4 linked regions of the Macaca mulatta genome follow. The protein of the gene in region 2 purifies or fractionates together with the protein of the main gene of each other region. This does not show direct contact. Links are inferred from orthologs where the notes say so. Each region holds a gene or a part of one and is shown on either strand. Other genes may lie near its edges.

Region 1 (3,861 bases), on a different chromosome or scaffold from region 2:
ATGTACCTCTGAACTTAAATGTCAGGAAAAAAAATAAAATTTTAATGTTAAAAACAAAAAAAAGAAGTGAGGACGCACAAAGGTTTTTAGCAGATAAATGACCTGATACAAGAAGATAACTTTTGCATAACTAAGGAGAATGTCATAAAGTTAGGGGAGACCTTCAGGGCAAAGAGATCCGAAGAGAACATTACTATAGCAGTCCCACTGGAAAGCAAAGAGAGTTTAAACTGGGATAGAGTAACAAAGAATACCACAGAGAAACACTCTGACAAATCCGGAATTGGAACATCCCACAAGATCACAGGCCTGATCTCTTCACAAAGTGGTCGTATTTAGAGGGATGCTGGATTGAATGGAGACTTACAAGAGACATAAACAGAAGCAAGGGTGAGCATTGATTAGAACCCGGTTCAAAATTAACAGCTATAAAAGATACAATGGGAACTGTGTGAGTCCACTCAGGCTGCCATGACAGAGGACCACACACCAAGGGACTAAAATAATAGATATTGTCTCACCATTCTGAAGGCCCAAAGTCCAAGATCAGGGTAACAGCAGGGGTAGTTTTGGTGAGACCTCTCTTCCTGGCTTGCAGGTGACCACCTTTTTGTCATGTCCTCACAAGGCCTTTCCTCTTGTGTGCAAGAAGAGAGAAAAAGGTGTCTGGTGGATACCAGACCTGTTGGATCACAGCCCATCCTTATAACCTGTTTAACCTTAATTACCTTCTTAAAGGTCTAATCTCCAAATACAGTCACATTGGGGGTTAGGTCTTCAACATATGAATCCGGGGGCGAGGCATACACAGTTCAGTCCATAACACAAACTGTTGGGGAAATCTGAATAGGGACTGGGTATTAGGTGATATTACAGAATTACTGCTAATTTTCTTAGGCTTGAGAATGATATAATGAGTGTGTAGGAGAATGATCATTTTAGACCATGCTCGCCAAAGTAAAGGAATAAAGTATCCTAACTGCAGCTTACTTTGAAATGTTTAGAAAAAAAAAAAGGCCAATAAATAAGGTAAAATGTTATCAGTGTTGAACTCAGGTGTCTGGATATGGATGTTAGTTGTACTATTCTTTCAGCTTCTCTATGTTTGAAATCTTTTTATAATAAACATTTGAGGGCAAAGGGAGTGTGACACTAAAGTAATAGTGAAGACAGTTTAAGAAACATTGACCATAACATTCCATAGTAACCTTGTAAGTTCTAAAAACTTCACCTTGACCCTCCTTAGTCTTTTCTGTGCAACTGATTAATCAAAAGGCATTGCTGATTCCAAAGATATGAGTTACTCTTTCATACTGTTCCCCAAAAGTCTCACTCGTGTCTTTGTAGAGATGTTCCTAGGCAGTGTGATTTCTCAGGAGAGTATGTTGTTGCCATGAGCCCTGCAGAACCTCCTGCTTGGAGATCCAAGCTGCCTTACAACCTCCTGTGAACTCTTCTACTCCTTTTCTGCCAAGCCCACATCTTACACCATCGCCCTGGGGGACTGCACCATATCCCAGAGCTTCCCAGTGACTTCTTGTCCATTCTCCCTCCAATAGTGGTGGTGTGATGATCTACTTTGACAGAATTGAAGTGGTGAACTTCCTGGTCCCAAACGCAGGTACGTCTTAACAGTTTATTCCCACCACCAGCTCACTTTCCCCAGCATGCCACTCCCGTGTCTGTTGTAGCACCTCGGAAAAGGAGAGCTGCTGTGTCTGAGGGCATTTTGAGTCTTGCCTTTTCTTATGCCAAGCCCTCTCCTTCCCTCTCAGTGTATGATATAGTGAAGAACTATACTGCCGACTATGACAAGGCCCTCATCTTCAACAAGATCCACCACGAACTGAACCAGTTCTGCAGTGTGCACACACTTCAAGAGGTCTACATTGAGCTGTTTGGTAAGAAAGTCTCTCCTGAGCGTGCCATGCTTAAGCCCATGTGTCTCCACTGCCTAGTGCCTGGCTGCCTGCAGGGTGTGATGGGCACTTAGGGACAGGAAATGTTAAAGAATCTCGTGCTCAGGAGCTGGTCACAAAGGAATTCCTGGAGAGTGCTGATGGCAATGCAACAAGATCCTTAGAGGGCTGGAGCTTTGGGCACAGGGATCGTAGTGGAGTAGAGTATTCACTTCTGGCCTCAATCAGATGCTGGAGTGGAAATGTGTTTCCACTGTCCCTAAACTGTCATTCAGTAATGAAGACAAGATCCATTCTAGAAGAACTGCAGAGATTTTCCAGCCCAGCATCCTCATTTTAAGATGAGGGTACCGTGACCCAAAGCGAGAAAGTCGCAGAGCCAGGTGCCAGTTAGTAGTGGAGCTGAAACAGGAGCTTTCCTCTCCTGGCTCTTCAGCATTCCTCTCACCATGCCACACTGAATGGAGGGCCCCCAGGAATGGGTGATGAAAAAGACATGATTCCTAATTCTAGAAGTGTGATGAGAACCATAGTTCCTTCCAGTTCCCAGAACCTTTGTGATTATTATTTTTTTACTCTGTACCTGTAGTGACAAATAGAAAAACACTTTAAACAAAAAGACTCCACGTGCCTAAGTAGATATGTTTTGTACTTATTTTTTTTTTTTGAGACAGAGTCTTGCTCTGTCGCCCAGGCTGGAGTGCAGTGGCGCAATCTCAGCTCACTGCAAGCTCCACCTCCTGGGTTTACGCCATTCTCCTGCCTCAGCCTCCCGAGTAGCTGGGACTACAGGCGCCCGCCACCTTGCCCAGCTAGGTTTTTTTTTGTATTTTTTAGTAGAGATGGGGTTTCACTGTGTTAGGATGGTCTCAATCTTCTGACCTCGTGATCCGCCCGTCTCGGCCTCCCAAAGTGCTGGGATTACAGGCTTGAGCCACTGCGCCCGGCCTTTGTCCTTTTTACCTTTTTCAAAATAAAGGCAACCTGACTTAGCAGCAAAGGAAGGACACAGTTGGGTAACTGTTACAACCTGTTTGCAGTCAACTATTCTGTTTAAACTCACTGCCAGAAATTCTCTAATAGCCAATGCCAAAAGTAAATGAATTTTTAACCAAGTATAACTATTCTTGACACTAGGACTGGAAAATGATTTTTCCCAGGAATCTTCATAAAAGGGACCCTGAGCGAGAACATTTTTCATAGCAGACAGGAGGAATCATCCACATCGCCAACAATCATAATTAAGCAAACCACCTTTTGCACCATTTAAGATTTAGGAAATCATCCAAATTACTTTTAATGTTTCTGCAGTAGAAAATGAATCTAAATTCATTTTATAGGGTTTGTAGTCTTTTATCGGTTTGGGATTCAGTGTGCTTTTAAGAAAAAGTTGGGCCGGGCGCGGTGGCTCAAGCCTGTAATCCCAGCACTTTGGGAGGCCGAGACGGGCGGATCACAAGGTCAGGAGATCGAGACCCTCCTGGCTAACCCGGTGAAACCCCGTCTCTACTAAAAAATACAAAAAACTAGCCGGGCGAGGTGGCGGGCGCCTGTAGTCCCAGCTACTTGGGAGGCTGAGGCAGGAGAATGGCGTAAACCTGGGAGGCAGAGCTTGCAGTGAGCTGAGATCCGGCCACTGCACTCCAGCCTGGGCGACAGAGCAAGACTCCGTCTCAAAAAAAAAAAAAAAAAGAAAAAGTTGGTAAATTTGCCATTGATTTTTTTTTAACCTCAAACTAATAGAATTGTATAAAATATTAATTCTCTCTAGCCATTGTCTTAGGGCTTGTGCCATTACATGAACATTTCAAAGCACTGAAACAAAAGACCAAGGATCCCCAATGTCCCTGGAGAGAAAATTAAAATACAAACTTGTTTTTCATTAGAAAACTTACTTTCTTACGGCTAAAGTTGGTAGCTTAGTGAAGTACAGCTGCTTGTA
Region 2 (4,548 bases):
CCCTTCTCTGCCAGGTGGGGTGGCTCACGCCTGTAACCCCAGCACTTTGGGAGGCCGAGGCAGGTGGATCACGAGGTCAGGAGTTCAACCCTGTCTCTACTAAAAATATAAAACAATTAGCTGGGCGTGGTGGCGGGCGCCCGTAATCCCAGCTATTCAGGAGGCTGAGGCCGAGAATTGCTTGAACCCAAGAGGCGGAGGTTGCAGTGAGCCAAGATCACGCCACTGCACTCCAGCCTGGGCGGCAGTGAGACTCTGTGTCAAAACAAACAAACAAAAACCAAAACTTTTTTTTGGGTGGGCTTGGTGGGTCACACCTGTAATCCCAGCACTTTGGGAGGCTGACGCTGGCAGATTGCTTGAGCTCAAGAGTTCAGACCATAGGCAACATGGATCTACAAAAAACCCTGTCTAGACCGGGCGTTGTGGCTCATTCCTGTAATCCCAGCACTTTGGGAGGCTGAGGCGGGCAGATCACCTAAGGTTGGGAGTTCGAGACCAGCCTCACCAACATGGAGCAACCCAGTCTCTACCAAAAATACAAAATGAGCTGGGCGCGGTGGCGCATGCCTGTAATCCCAGCTACTTGGGAGGCTGAGGCAGGAGAATCGCTTGAACCCGGGAGGCGGAGGTTGCAGAGAGCCGAGATCGCGCTTCTGCACTCCAGCCTGGGTGACGGAGCGAGAATCCGTCTCAAACAAAAAAAACCCAAAAACAGAAACCGTAGTATCCTCTTATGTAGGCAGGAGGGACTCAATACGTGCCCCTGAAGAGCATTTACTTACTGTTGCCCGAGGGCTACAGGGGCAGGTGCTTGAGTGGGGACGGCCAGATTGTCCTATCGCCAACCTCTGGTGCCAGGGGAGATGGACATCCGGGGAGTCCGGGGAAGGGAAGCAAAACGAGCTGACCAGCTGCGGACTATAAGCAAAAATATGGAACGCTTCACGAATTTGCGTGTCATCCTTGCGCAGGGGCCATGCTAATCTTCTCTGTATCGTTCCAATTTTAGTATATGTGCTGCCGAAGCGAGCACGACTCAAAAGTTCCAGCTACGGTTATTTAAAGGCCTTCAAACTAATTACCTTACAGTTAGGAGAACTTATGGTCAGTCTTATGTTTAGCATAACTTCCTACAGTTGTATATTGCCAAATAAATTCTCTGCTTGCACTTACTTTGAGTGTCTTCCGTCACGCAAAATCCCATATTTTATCAAAATTTTACCGTCTTATACTGGCCTCCTAGACGCGGTGGATTGTGGGTGCAATATGCAAAAGTGGTGGGCCGGATGTAGCCTCGCCCCCTGGCGCAGGCCAGGGCGGGGATGAAGCTTCCCCGGGCGGCCGCTGGTATCCCAGCGTTCCCTGCAGGCGCAGGGGGGCCGCTCTTGCCCGGCGTGGCGACTCGCTAGCGTCAGCAGGGCCGCAGCAGGACGAGGAGGCGGAAGATGGCGGCAGCGGCCGGGCGGCCGTAAGGAGCGCGGCGGCGGTAAGGGCGGCCGATGGCGGCCGGGAGGCGCCCTCGGACACCTGCGGGCCGTTAGGGCGCGACGCTGGGCGGCATGTCGGAGCACGCGGCGCCCGGAGCTCCGGGGCCCGGGCCCAACGGCGGCGGCGGCGGCCCGGCCCCTGCGCGCGGGCCTCGCACCCCCAACCTCAACCCCAACCCCCTCATCAACGTGCGCGACCGGCTGTTCCACGCGCTGTTCTTCAAGATGGCTGTCACCTATTCGCGGCTCTTCCCGCCCGCCTTCCGCCGTCTCTTCGAGTTCTTCGTGTTGCTCAAGGTGACCGCGGCGCCGACCCCCGACCCTTGACCCCAGCGCCCGGCCTGACCCCCATGTCTGCGACCTGCGACTGCGGCCCCTGGCCTCGCTGGGGACACCGAGCGCCACCCTGCACCCCGAGGCCTAGATCCGACCCTACCGGTTAGGGTCCTCCCTCGCGACCTCTGACCCTGGGATTGGCCAGGGACACCGTCTCGTGACCCCATCCCGCCCGGGGACGTACACCCGGGAAGGCCGGTTGCCACTGCACTAGAAGCCGCTGTTCTCTGGAAACCTCCATCTCAGCCCCCTCCAGGGACCATCCTGTCCCCGGCGACCGCCTTTCCCAGGTCCCTATCTACCCAGGCTTGGAGCCCGGTCCTGGCCTGCGACGGAGCACCTCCCGCCCTTTGACCCCTGACTCTGCCGCCTGTGACCCTCAGTCCCCAGGCCTCTTTCCACTCCCCGTGTGCTGGCCCAGAACCCAGTCTGACCCAGGGCTCCCTTGGACCAGCCCCAGTCCTGGAAGTCCACTCCCCACTCTTCCTCCTGGTGGGGCTCTCTCCCTCCTTGTAGGCTTCCACCTGCCCCCACCTCGTTCCCCTCTCCTGAGCCTCAGGAGAATGTGACTTAGCTGAGGTCACCTCCCTAGGGTTAGCGGCAAAGTCACCGGCAGCAGCGTTCCAGCCCATCCCCGGCCTCCTCCGCTTGGTCCCCATCCCCTTCCTGACCCAGGAGTTCAGGTCTGTCTCCCGTGCCTCCTGTATGAGGCACCGACCTCTGCGTCTTGGCCTCTGTCCCCCTCCTGCCCTTCTCAGATGGCACAGAGGTCTCAGCCATGCAGGACTGGCCTGAGTCCCTCTGAGAAGGAGTCTGTCTTGGGTGACAGGAGGGGCTCAGCAGCAGGTGCAGCCACTCAGAAAACAAGTTGGCCGGGGTCCTGGACCACCTGGGGAAATGGAGACATGGCCGTTTTTGTTTTGCATCAGAACACCGCAGTGCTGGGGCTTGGGGGGTGCTGAACTTGCGCCGTGAGCTTTTTGGAGCTAGTCTGCAGAGAGGGGGCTGACTCTGGCGGGCCAGGCCTGTTGGTCAGGAGCCGGCTGCTCTTTTGGGCTCAGCAGGTGGAGCTGGAGCTTGGCCGTCCTGCAGACCTGCGTGTGGGTCCCAGCCTACCGCCGCCTCAAGGGAGGCCCCTTAGCCTCCAGATCTGTGGCCTCCCCAGGCCAGAGCTCAGCCCGTCATCCTTCCCACCTTCTTCCTCCCTGCAGCCCCCCAGAGTGGCGTGGTTGCCTCTGGGCATCAGAGCAGGACTGTGAAGGGTTACTCGGGCAGGCGGCCTTTCCCTGCTCTGGGGTCCACAGACGGGACCTGAAACTGTGGACGGAGGCTGGTCTGTGGACGTGGGTTTTCCTTCCATGGAGTAGCCTGGGTCCAGGATGGAGCCGCTCTGTCCTTAGCTTTGTGGAGGATGTGTGCTGGGTGCCAGGCCAGGTGCCCCCGACAGAGCTCAGCCTCCCTGGGAGGTGCATCCCTGTTGCCTGGGCTTCCGTCCCACCACGTCCCAGTTTGGAAAGGGATCAAGCCTACCCAACTCTATCTCCAGGCAGGTGCCACTCACAGGTGGTCAGATGGGGCTGGGCCAGAGCTGGAGGTCCCCCCTCTCCTGTGGAGGGTGGAGATTCTGGGGAGGTTCTTAGCGCCCCCCATCCCTCCTCTCTCAGCAGGGGGCTCTGGGCTGCGAGATCTCTGGGTGGTGATTTTTTTTTTTTTTTTTGAGATGGAGTCTTGCTCTGTCGCCCAGGCTGGAATGCAGTGGCTCAATCTCGGCTCACTGCAACCTCCACCTCCTGGGTTCCAGCAATAATTCTGCCTCAGCCTCCCGAGTAGCTGGGACTACAGGCGCCCGCCACCACAACCAGCTACTTTTTTTGTATTTTTGGTAGACATGGGTTTTGCCATGTTGGCCAGGCTGGTCTCAAAACTGATTTCAGGCGACCCGCCCACCTTGGCCTCCAGAAATGCTGGGATTACAGGTGTGAGCCCCCGTGCCCGGCCTGGGTGGGGAAATCGGTTCGTTGTGAATTCTCCACCGGGTAATCTGGTGGTTCAGAATCTGACCTTGCCGCCTTCACTTTTACTTATCTGCAAAGTGCAGGCTAGGACTGGCTCTCAGAGGCTGCCTTGAATTCCAGAAGGCTCTTCTGCTTCCTGCCCACCCGGCTTCCGGGGCTCTCCCTGCAGAGAGCCAGGTCCTCCCTGGTGCGGTCCCTTCAAGGTTTCTTCATTCTGTGGCCCCTGTGCCCCTGAGCTCCCAGCCCTGAGCTGGCATGGAGCCCCCCGGCCCTCCCCCATGCCTGGGTGGCTTCACGAAATGCCAGGAGCTCCCAGCCCTGAGCCAGCACGAGGCCCCTCAGCCCCTCACCCTTGCCTGGGTGGTTTTAGGAAATGCCAGGCAGTACCAGGTGCTGGGGAGAGAAGAGGCGGCAGGGGCCTGTGTTCCAGAGGCCCTGGGGAGACCTCCCTCCAGCCTCAGCACCCACCTCTGCTGGCCTTCATGGCCCCGAAGCCAGCGTGGCAGAGACCGTCCATCCTAGGGTGCTGTCACTGGGTGCCCGCACCTGTGCAGTTGGGCTCCGGACCCAGGTGACCACTGAGTGGATGCCCACAGGGTGAAGGGGGTCTCGACTCAGCGCACTGGACATGGGCAAGGGCCCACCCCTAGCCACGGGGAGTAACGGGGCTCCTCTGGTGGGGTCGTTGTGAGGATGAAAGACAAGGT
Region 3 (4,472 bases), on a different chromosome or scaffold from region 2:
TTGTTCTGCTAGGTTACACCTCTGTAACATCACCGTTTTCCCTTTGTAAATCAATAGGTAATTTGTGGGAGACACTTTTACTGTTTTAAACATCCCATTTCTATAGTTCTACCACACATTATTGATTTTCTAATTCCACCATGTTTTGTCATACCCTACCTTGTTTTAACCTGATGGTCTCTCTTAGCTGAGAGAGCCAGACAGACTCCATTTTAGTTCCTTCACTTACAGCCCCTTTACCTCCCTCCCTTAAGGGCATAACTAGAGTAAACTGACTCAAAGCATGTCCAGAAATGCACTTACTGATAAGATACTGAGGCAAGCTGCACCAGCAGCTCCTGGGGATGCGCTCCCTGGATGGCACCCAAAGCCCCTGCATTTCTCTCTTTGTGATAGTTTAAGCCCCTGCACCTCGAACTGTTTATTTTTTTGTAACTGCTTTTGTAACCAATTAATTTTTTAACTTTTTGCCAGTTCTGCTTCTGTAAAATTTTTAGTAGAGACAGGGTAAAAATTGCTTCAGCTAAACTCCCCCCTCCCCTATTTAGACCACGGTATAAAAACAAAACTAGCCCCTTCCTCGGGGCCGAGAGAATTTCGAGCGTTAGCCGTCTCTCGGTCACCGGCTAATAAAGGACTCCTGAATTTAGCTGTCTCTCGGTCGCCGGCTAATAAAGGACTTCTGAATTCGTCTCAAAGTGTGGCATTTCTCTCTAACTCACTCGGTTACAACAGTTTATTAGTTGGCATTCTACTAAAAGGAAGACTTTCCCTTCACCCATTAATATACTCACTTCTTTATGTCTGTAAAGACTCATGGATTACTATTTTATTCAATTAGTTATACTGTATTACTATTACTCCATATTTTGATTCTGAAATTGCCCTGACTTGGCCAGTGGGATCTCTTTAAAGACAGCTCCTGTGTTCTTTGACATATTCCCATGATTCTTATTACCATCATCCTTATATTCTGGTGTAACAAGATGTTCCAAGTTTATCTGGTACTTTCCGGAATGTTTTCTTCCTTTCTCTTTCTTTTTTTCTTTTTGAGACGGAGTCTCGCTCTGTCGCCCAGGCTAGAGTGCAGTGGTGCGATCTCAGCTCACTGCAATCTCCGCCTCCCGGGTTCAAGTGGTTCTCCTGCCTCAGCCTCCCAAGTAGCTGGGATTACAGATGTGCGCCACCACGACCGGCTAATTTTTGTATTTTTAGTACAGAGGGGTTTCACCATGTTGGCCAGGCTGGTCTCGAACTCCTGACCTCATGTGATCCATCCTGCCTCGGCCTCCCAAAGTGCTGGGATTACAGGTGGGAGTCACTGCGCCCGGTCGGAAATCAGTTTTTTTCTTTCAGGAGCCCCGAACCCAAGTTCTTTGAAAAGCTGCCAAAGAGCTCCAGGGTTCCTCCGCTTCCTGCCCGCAGGCGGAACCTTAGAGTTTAGGACATGGAGATAAACCTCTTCCGGTTGGGGCCGGAAGTCCCTCCGAGAGAGGCGGCTTCGCGTCATGTGACTGGAGTCCGCGTAGGAGGGGTCAGAGGTCCTACCCAACAGATTGACGCGGCGATAGTATTGGCCGTGTAGCCGAAAAACTGATTGACTGGGCGGCCTCCCACGGCGTTAACTGCGCAGAGGCAGGTATGTGAGGGGCTGGGGTTGGGGCGGGGACCGCCAAGGTTTAGGGACGGGGGCGGGAGACCCGGGTCCGCCTTCCCGGGACACACGGGCTTCAACATCTGAGCCCAGGGGCCCAGAGACAGCAAGACCGGTGGTGCCTCTGGTCCCCGAAAAGAGGACGGGCTGGCGTTGTGGTTCTGCGTCCCGTGATTACAGATTGGGGAAACTGAGGCCTTGAGAAAGAGAAGAGCTCCCACAAGCTCTCCTTTCGAGGCATGGGCACTGATTCCCATTCTGTCCCCCGTGCGAGGCCGCCTGTATCATCTGGGAGTGCATTTCACGAGTTTGCCCTGAGTGGAGAAGCAGAGGCCGGGGAGCGCGGTGAACAGAGTTGGGCTGAGAGTAAGAGACCTGGATTCGAGACTTCTCCACCGACAATTTTGCGTTCTGGGCCAAATCTCTTTCCTGTGCTGGGCCTCAGTTTCCTCGTGTCTAAAACGGGGCAGTGTTTCTCAAAATATGGTTCTTACACCATCTGCTTTGAAGTGCCGGCTTTACAGTGCGGGACTCACTTCAGACTTCTGGTTTAGAATCTGAACTTATGCCTAGGAGGGTCCTGTATATACTGATGTTTGAATCTCATTGATTTTAAGTGCTTTCCTGCTGTGAGCACTAGATATCCATTCTTCGCTTTGAGGCAGCTGGTGCCAGGTCAGGAACTTTGAAAGAACTGGAATGGTTAGCTCAGTAAAGACAGCACTGGAAGGGAATTAACTTTTTAAAAATTGAAAATAGGCCGGGCGCGGTGGCTCAAGCCTGTAATCCCAGCACTTTGGGAGGCCTAGACGGGCGGATCACGAGGTCAGGAGATCGAGACCATCCTGGCTAACACGGTGAAACCCCGTCTCTACTAAAAAATAGAAAAAACTAGCCGGGCGAGGTGGCGGGCGCCTGTAGTCCCAGCTACTGGGGAGGCTGAGGCAGGAGAATGGCGGGAACCCGGGAGGCGGAGCTTGCAGTGAGCCGAGATCACGCCACTGCACTCCAGCCTGGGCGACAGAGCGAGACTCCGTCTCAAACAAAAAAAAAAATTGAAAATATTGTTAATGGCAAAGGGGACTTCCACTTCATCTTTAGGCTAAAAGAGGCAGAACTAGGACTAACAGGTGAATTCTACAAGAAGACAAGATTTTTGCTTAATAGAAGAACTTAAATGGAAGAATCATCAGAGTTGACCAGCGATGGAGTGAATGGATTGCCTCCGTGCCTCCTTTCGAGAGAGGTATATAGGTATTAGATGAAGGTCCTTTCCAATTTGAAAGTCTGTGATTCTAAGGAGTTGTTCTGCATCTATCTGGTGCTGACTCTGCCCTTAGGGCAAATGTGACTTTTTTCTTCTCTCTTTTCTTGACACTTCCATCACTTTAGCCTACATCTCCTGTAAATAAGGCCAATGCCTCTGACCTTACGTAATCTCTTCCTGGTTGTCCTGGGCCCCATCCTTCTTTTCAAGGACTTTGATTTGATAGACGCACCTTAAATGTTTGTTGAATGAATAAGTAAACTGGGTCCCACCCCATGGGTTAGTAGCTTTTTTCTAAGAACAACTTGGAAATGCCTCTGAAGATTTTATGTTTGACCAGGAGAAGCCAGTGAACTCTCAGTCACAAAATTGAGGACTCCCAGTTGGGAGGACCCCTTGAGGTTGTTCAGACCAGCCTTCTCCTCCCTGAAACATAATCCCTGCTTGAATCCTCTCTTCAGCAATATGTGTATACATGTGAGAGAGTTTTTGCAGTCTGTTGGCTAGCTTTCCGTGCATCATATAAAAACAGTCCTCTTATAGACTTGACTTGCCAGTTCGCACACACCACCAGTTCCAGCTAATTTTGTGTGTGTGTGTGTGTGTGTATTTTTTTTTTTTTTTTTTTTGAGACGGAGTCTCGCTCTGCCGCCCAGGCTGGAGTGCAGTGGCCGGATCTCAGCTCACTGCAAGCTCCGCCTCCCGGGTTCACGCCATTCTCCTGCCTCAGCCTCCCCAGTAGCTGGGACTACAGGCGCCCGCCACCTCGCCCAGCTAGTTTTTTTTTTTTTGTATTTCTTAGTAGAGACGGGGTTTCACTGTGTCAGCCAGGATGGTCTCGATCTCCTGACCTCGTGATCCGCCCGCCTCGGCCTCCCAAAGTGCTGGGATTACAGGCTTGAGCCACCGCGCCCGGCCGTGTGTGTGTATTTAGTAGAGATGGGGTTTCACCATGTTGACCAGGCTGGTCTCGAACTCCTGACCTCAAGTGATCCGCCTGCCTCAGCCTCCCAAAGTGCTGGGATTACAGGTGTGAGCCACTGTGCCTGGCCTCTAGCATACCTTTAGTTTTCTAATCAAACATTATTATGTCCTTATTTTGTGCATTACAGAGCTCGCCTAAGTCACTTTTTCAACACCTGCTAGAATGCTTAGGAATGTTTATGTTATCTTAGGGAGCAGAGGCTCCATATTATGACCCAGTTCTGCTGACTTGCTCCCCTGCCCCCACAAAAAAAAGGTTAGGGTTGAGCCAAAACTTCCTGCCAGTGTTTATCGACTTGTATTTCCCAAGATTAAAAAATAAAAAAGTTGTGAAATGCTTATTCAGATCTTATCCAGGTACTGGGTAAAATGATCTTAATTTGTTGGAGTTTTTAGAACTTCTTGATCTAAAAGTTTCCTTTTAAAGAAGCATCTGAATTAACATTCTCATAAGTGTGTTCTTCAGGCCACTGGTCTGAAGAAATGGCTCTGAAAAAAGGATTTGATGCTAACAATAAGTTTGAGAAAGCCACATACCATTATTCTTTCTTGAAGCTTCTCAATATG
Region 4 (4,312 bases), on a different chromosome or scaffold from region 2:
TCCGAAGCCATGAACTTCCAGGCGGGCGGGGGGCAGAGCCCGCAGCAGCAGCAGAGCCTGGCGGCTCCGGGGGGCGGCGGCGGCGGCGGCGGCGGCAGCGCGGGGGGCGGCGGGCAGTTCGGCGGCGCGGGGCCCGGGGCCGGGGGCGGCGGCGTCCCCTCGCAGCAGCTGGCCGGCGGGCCCCCCCAGCAGTTCGCGCTCTCCAACTCCGCGGCCATCCGGGCCGAGATCCAGCGCTTCGAGTCCGTGCATCCCAATATCTACGCCATCTACGACCTGATCGAGCGCATCGAGGATTTGGCGCTGCAGAACCAGATCCGCGAGCACGTCATCTCCATCGAGGGTGAGCGAAGCCGGGGGCTGCGGGAGCAGGGGCGCGGTGGCCTCTCCGGCTCCGGTCGAGGGCTCCACGGGCCGGTCCTGGCTATGCTCTCCCTGTCGGGGGTCCTTGCGCGCTTGAGGTCCAGGCCACGAGGTTTGCCGATCTGTGCTGCAGAACCGGCGGGCAGCTTCGCCATATCTCGTTCGGGGACACTTTGGGGTTGGGGGTTTTCTGCTCACTGTGCTCCAGGGCGCGAAGGTGGTGTCGCTTCGGGGGGCCAGGACCAGATCTATCCAGGCCTGGCCGGGGAAGGTGGGCGCGGCAGAGGGCTTCAGCTGCCGGGAGGTGGGGCCGTGACCGGGGAGGCATCTTAGCCGCTGCCCGGGCCCTGCTCCGCAGTGGGGCGGGGGATCGGAGCCTCGCGTTAGTGGATGGCAGCCTTCCCTGGCCCAGCGCCCGCAGGCCCGGAGGGTGGCGCTCGCCGCGGCGCCCTCTCCCGACGCACACCCCCTACGCCGCGGCGGCCAAGCGGGCGCGGGCCGGGCCTGGCGCTGGGCTGCGGCGCCGCGACCGCGTGGGAGGCGCCGGCAGGTCCATCCGCGCCTTGGCCGGGTCGTGAGCGCGCCAGGGACCCGCGGCTCCTCGGTCTGGAGGCAGCCGCGGGGCAGCCGGGCGCTGACTGACCTCCAGGGACACCGCACCCGGAGTCGGGGACTGGAAATCCCCGGCCACTGCGCTGCCTAGCGCTTTTTTCTCTGGGCCCTTAGGCCCTGGACTTTCGACCATTGAGGGCACAGGAAGTAGGGGCACGCTGCTGGTAGATGGCTCGCAAGCCCTGGTGTGGTGGGTGCTGGCGGCACCCGCAATCAGGCCAGTGGCATGGTGACCTTCGAGCGGGCACGGACAGATGGGCCTCGCCCTGGGCCATCTGCTTCCTCCCCCAGCTCTGTTTGAAAGGGGACGCCCACCGGCAGGTGGTGGGTTTGGCCTCCGTGGAAATGCAGCGAGAGCCAAGGCCTTTTGCCATAACATGGAGTTGTGGGCAGGGGCCTGTTCCTGACTTGGGCCTTAAGGTTAGGGCCCCACTCCCAGCTTCATCTGCTTGCCTGAGGTTCTGGGGGGTAGTGCACCTGAACACCTCCCTTTCTACTTTCAGAGGCCCCCATAGCTGAGGAAGGAGTATTGGGTCTGGGGGGACCCCATGTAGTGCTGGGTCCTATCTTTTGTTGTGACATGGCAGTCTGACTTCCTTCTGCCTTTTCCCAACCGGTTCTTATTTCTTTCCTCTCAAGGCTGAGTTCTCTGTGAACTAATTAGGTGACAGAAAAATCTCATTAACGTGGATCTGAGTAAATGGCCTGAATCACCGCTGTAGCTGGGGACTAGGAGATGGCATTTGTGCGAGCCCTGGGCCCCACAGAGAGAAGATGACCAGTTTTTCCTCTTAGATCTGAAGAGGGTGGAGGCGGGAGAGACCGTTGCTGCAGCTTCACTGTCCTTGGAGGAAGTAAAGACATTCCTGATTTGCTCCAAGCTTGCCTTCCCCCAGCTCCTTCTGGAGGGCGACAAGCCTCGTGGGCTGGCCACAGGAGGGTGGGGGCACATCTGCTTCCGAGCTTTTCCCAGAGCAGGGACAGGTTTCCGGGCTCCCCAGCGCTCCAGCTTGATAAGCAGCGACCCCTCCTCCCCAGCTCAGGGGAGCCTCTGGTTGAGCATCTTTTGTGATGTGAAGGCTGTGATTCCTGGGGCGCCCTTGAGTTTTTTGCCTCGTCTTAAATTTAACACAACAGGCAGAATTTCCCCTCCTAGAGCCCTCCCCTGACCAACTTCTCCATTGCGGTTTGGAAATACCCCACGGTTCCAGCTACTAGGCCTGGAATCTCGGCCTCACCCTCGTGAAATCCTGGGAGCCGGTGTCTCATTGTCACCAGACCGACCCAGCTGCGGCTCACACATCCGTTCTCAGCCCTGCTGTTCCCACTCCTGGGCCCTGCTGCCCTGTTCTCCCTCCCTCCCCCCTGCCCAGCCTCTCCTGGCACCATCATCTTTATCCACCTCACCTCTCTTGCGTTCCCACTTTTCTGCTGTAGACAGTCTTCAAAAGAAAAAAAAAAACACTCCTTCTTCAATTTCTGCCCTATATCCTTCCTGCGATAGAACTCCTCTCCATCTGCCAAACCATATTGCTTCTGTCCTGCGAAGCCGCGTCCCCACCTTCTTTCTGCAAGGAGGGAGAGGCGCAGACTCCCTGGGCGTTTCTGAGCACACTCTGAGGCTGGACTGAGACTGAGCCCTCCACCCCCAGCCCCAGGGTCGAACAGACCTAGGCTGTTACATAAACACAGTGTCAGCTGGGAGCCAGCTCCTATGTTTCCTGGGGGTAAGCCTCTCCGTGGAAAGGGGCGGCATGTTCCGAGTGTATAACAAAGCCTCCCCCACTGTTTAGACTTCGGTGAAGGGTTTGTTTGTCCCAGCTCTGAAGGTGACGTGGGACCTGCGGTCAGGATCCATTCGGCTCTGAGGAAGTGCAGTGGGCACTTAGGCCTCCTGTAGTCTCTCTGCCACTCATAGTCACTTCTGACCCTGTGTCCAGGGCAGGAGGAAGCAGGGGATGTTTGGCTTTCCTGTGTTTCAGGACAGGATTTGAGGGGAGGGAGACCATTTTGAAAAGTTCCTTTCCCACCAGAGGCCAAGGAAAGAGGAAACCTGCCCATTACTTGGGCTGAGGGAGTGGAAGAAGTACCACCTTCAGCTGGGAGGGAGAGCTGGAGGGCTCACTATGTGCAGAACCTCTGAACTACCTTCACCTCACTAGTGGGGAAACTGAGGCTCAGAGAAGGAAGGGAGCCAAGCGGGTACAGCCAGAGAGAGTCTGGGCCTTCAACAGGAGCCCGCTTCCTGCTTGGCACTCACCTACAGAGAGCGCTCCCTGACAGCTTGGGTTTCCTGGCTGAGTCCTAGAAAGAAGGATGCAGGAGAACCAGGGCCTCAGTCCAAATGGGGACACTGGGCATGTGGAGTGCAGGAAGTTGGACCAAGCTAGCCAGGAGCCCCGAGAAGCTGTTGGGAGAAGCAGCCTGGGATCCAGCAGGTCCTGGGAAGGTCTGCTGGTCCCAGTCAGTGTGTGCAGGTGAGGGCCCCCGCACAGAGGAGGAGCAGGGGCTGGGGGAGGGGCTGGGGTCCCCTCTGGCAGTTCCGGAGGAGCTCCCCAGCTGGAAGTGGAGGTGGACCTATTAGGTGTGTGTGTGCCATATGGCTACTATTGTGTGTGCCGGAGCTGGGCTTTGTCAACTGGGTGACTTGCTCAAGTTTCTCCATTGTTTTCCCCCTAGGGCTTTTTTTTTTTTTTTTTTTTAAACAGTTACTTTGAGCATTCCAGCCAGCCTGGCCTGGCCACCAGAGGGTTCTCACTTACACCCTTACCCACTCACTTTCATTCAGTTCACAGATTGCCTGCCCTGGGCTGTGGGCTTGGTGACATCCTAAAGGGACTATGGTAAAGAGATGTGGTGGTTTCTTGTTTGGGTCAAGCCTCAGCTAGACAGAGAAGGGGCCACAGCTGTGACCACAGTTGGGTGGCAGCTCAGATGGAGAGTAAGATGGTGCACATGGCAGGGCGCGGTGGCTCACGCCTGTAATCCAAACATTTTGGGAGGCCGAGGTGGGCGGATTGCGAGGTCAGGAGATTGAGACCATCCTGACCTAACACGATGAAACCCCGTCTCTACTAAAAATGCAAAAAATTAGCCGGGCGTGGTGGCGGGAGCCTGTAGTCTCAGCTACTCGGAAGGCTGAGGCAGGAGAATGGCGTGAACCTGGGAGGTGGAGCTTGCAGTGAGTCGAGATCGCACCACTGTGCTCCAGCCTGGACAACAGAGTGAGACTCCATCTCAAAAGAAAAAAAAAAAAAAACGGCACACGCCCTGGCAGCCCGCAGCCCTCAGCCCTTAAGCACACCTGGGGTTTTAGTGTTTGTGTCTGTTTCTGTTT

What was found.
Region 1: the proteins of TMEM259 (region 2) and ERLIN2 purify together in Homo sapiens (affinity purification with mass spectrometry; 3 studies listed by BioGRID and IntAct, with this or other methods). This does not show direct contact. The link is inferred for Macaca mulatta from reciprocal best matches to the Homo sapiens genes TMEM259 and ERLIN2.
Region 3: the proteins of TMEM259 (region 2) and RNF185 purify together in Homo sapiens (affinity purification with mass spectrometry; 3 studies listed by BioGRID and IntAct, counting the BioPlex papers as one, with this or other methods). This does not show direct contact. The link is inferred for Macaca mulatta from reciprocal best matches to the Homo sapiens genes TMEM259 and RNF185.
Region 4: the proteins of TMEM259 (region 2) and TMUB1 purify together in Homo sapiens (affinity purification with mass spectrometry; 3 studies listed by BioGRID, with this or other methods). This does not show direct contact. The link is inferred for Macaca mulatta from reciprocal best matches to the Homo sapiens genes TMEM259 and TMUB1.

What each region holds. Positions count from the first base shown.
Region 1 is NC_133413.1:39,669,526-39,673,386, forward strand, and holds part of ERLIN2 (erlin-2 precursor), read left to right. Parts: intron 1-1,559; coding exon 1,560-1,621; intron 1,622-1,775; coding exon 1,776-1,901; intron 1,902-3,861. UniProt on the Homo sapiens protein: Component of the ERLIN1/ERLIN2 complex which mediates the endoplasmic reticulum-associated degradation (ERAD) of inositol 1,4,5-trisphosphate receptors (IP3Rs) such as ITPR1.
Region 2 is NC_133424.1:1,680,040-1,684,587, reverse strand, and holds the start of TMEM259 (membralin), read left to right. Parts: upstream 1-1,416; 5' UTR 1,417-1,562; coding exon 1,563-1,787; exon of another isoform or gene 1,788-2,509; intron 2,510-2,634; exon of another isoform or gene 2,635-4,548. UniProt on the Homo sapiens protein: May have a role in the ERAD pathway required for clearance of misfolded proteins in the endoplasmic reticulum (ER). Promotes survival of motor neurons, probably by protecting against ER stress.
Region 3 is NC_133415.1:20,360,962-20,365,433, reverse strand, and holds the start of RNF185 (E3 ubiquitin-protein ligase RNF185), read left to right. Parts: upstream 1-1,537; 5' UTR 1,538-1,639; intron 1,640-1,716; exon of another isoform or gene 1,717-2,020; intron 2,021-2,755; 5' UTR 2,756-2,868; coding exon 2,869-2,900; exon of another isoform or gene 2,901-2,908; intron 2,909-4,472. UniProt on the Homo sapiens protein: E3 ubiquitin-protein ligase that regulates selective mitochondrial autophagy by mediating 'Lys-63'-linked polyubiquitination of BNIP1.
Region 4 is NC_133408.1:190,518,004-190,522,315, forward strand, and holds the start of TMUB1 (transmembrane and ubiquitin-like domain-containing protein 1), read right to left. Parts: upstream 3,138-4,312; 5' UTR 3,113-3,137; intron 344-3,112; coding exon of another isoform or gene 10-343; exon of another isoform or gene 1-9. UniProt on the Homo sapiens protein: Involved in sterol-regulated ubiquitination and degradation of HMG-CoA reductase HMGCR. Involved in positive regulation of AMPA-selective glutamate receptor GRIA2 recycling to the cell surface.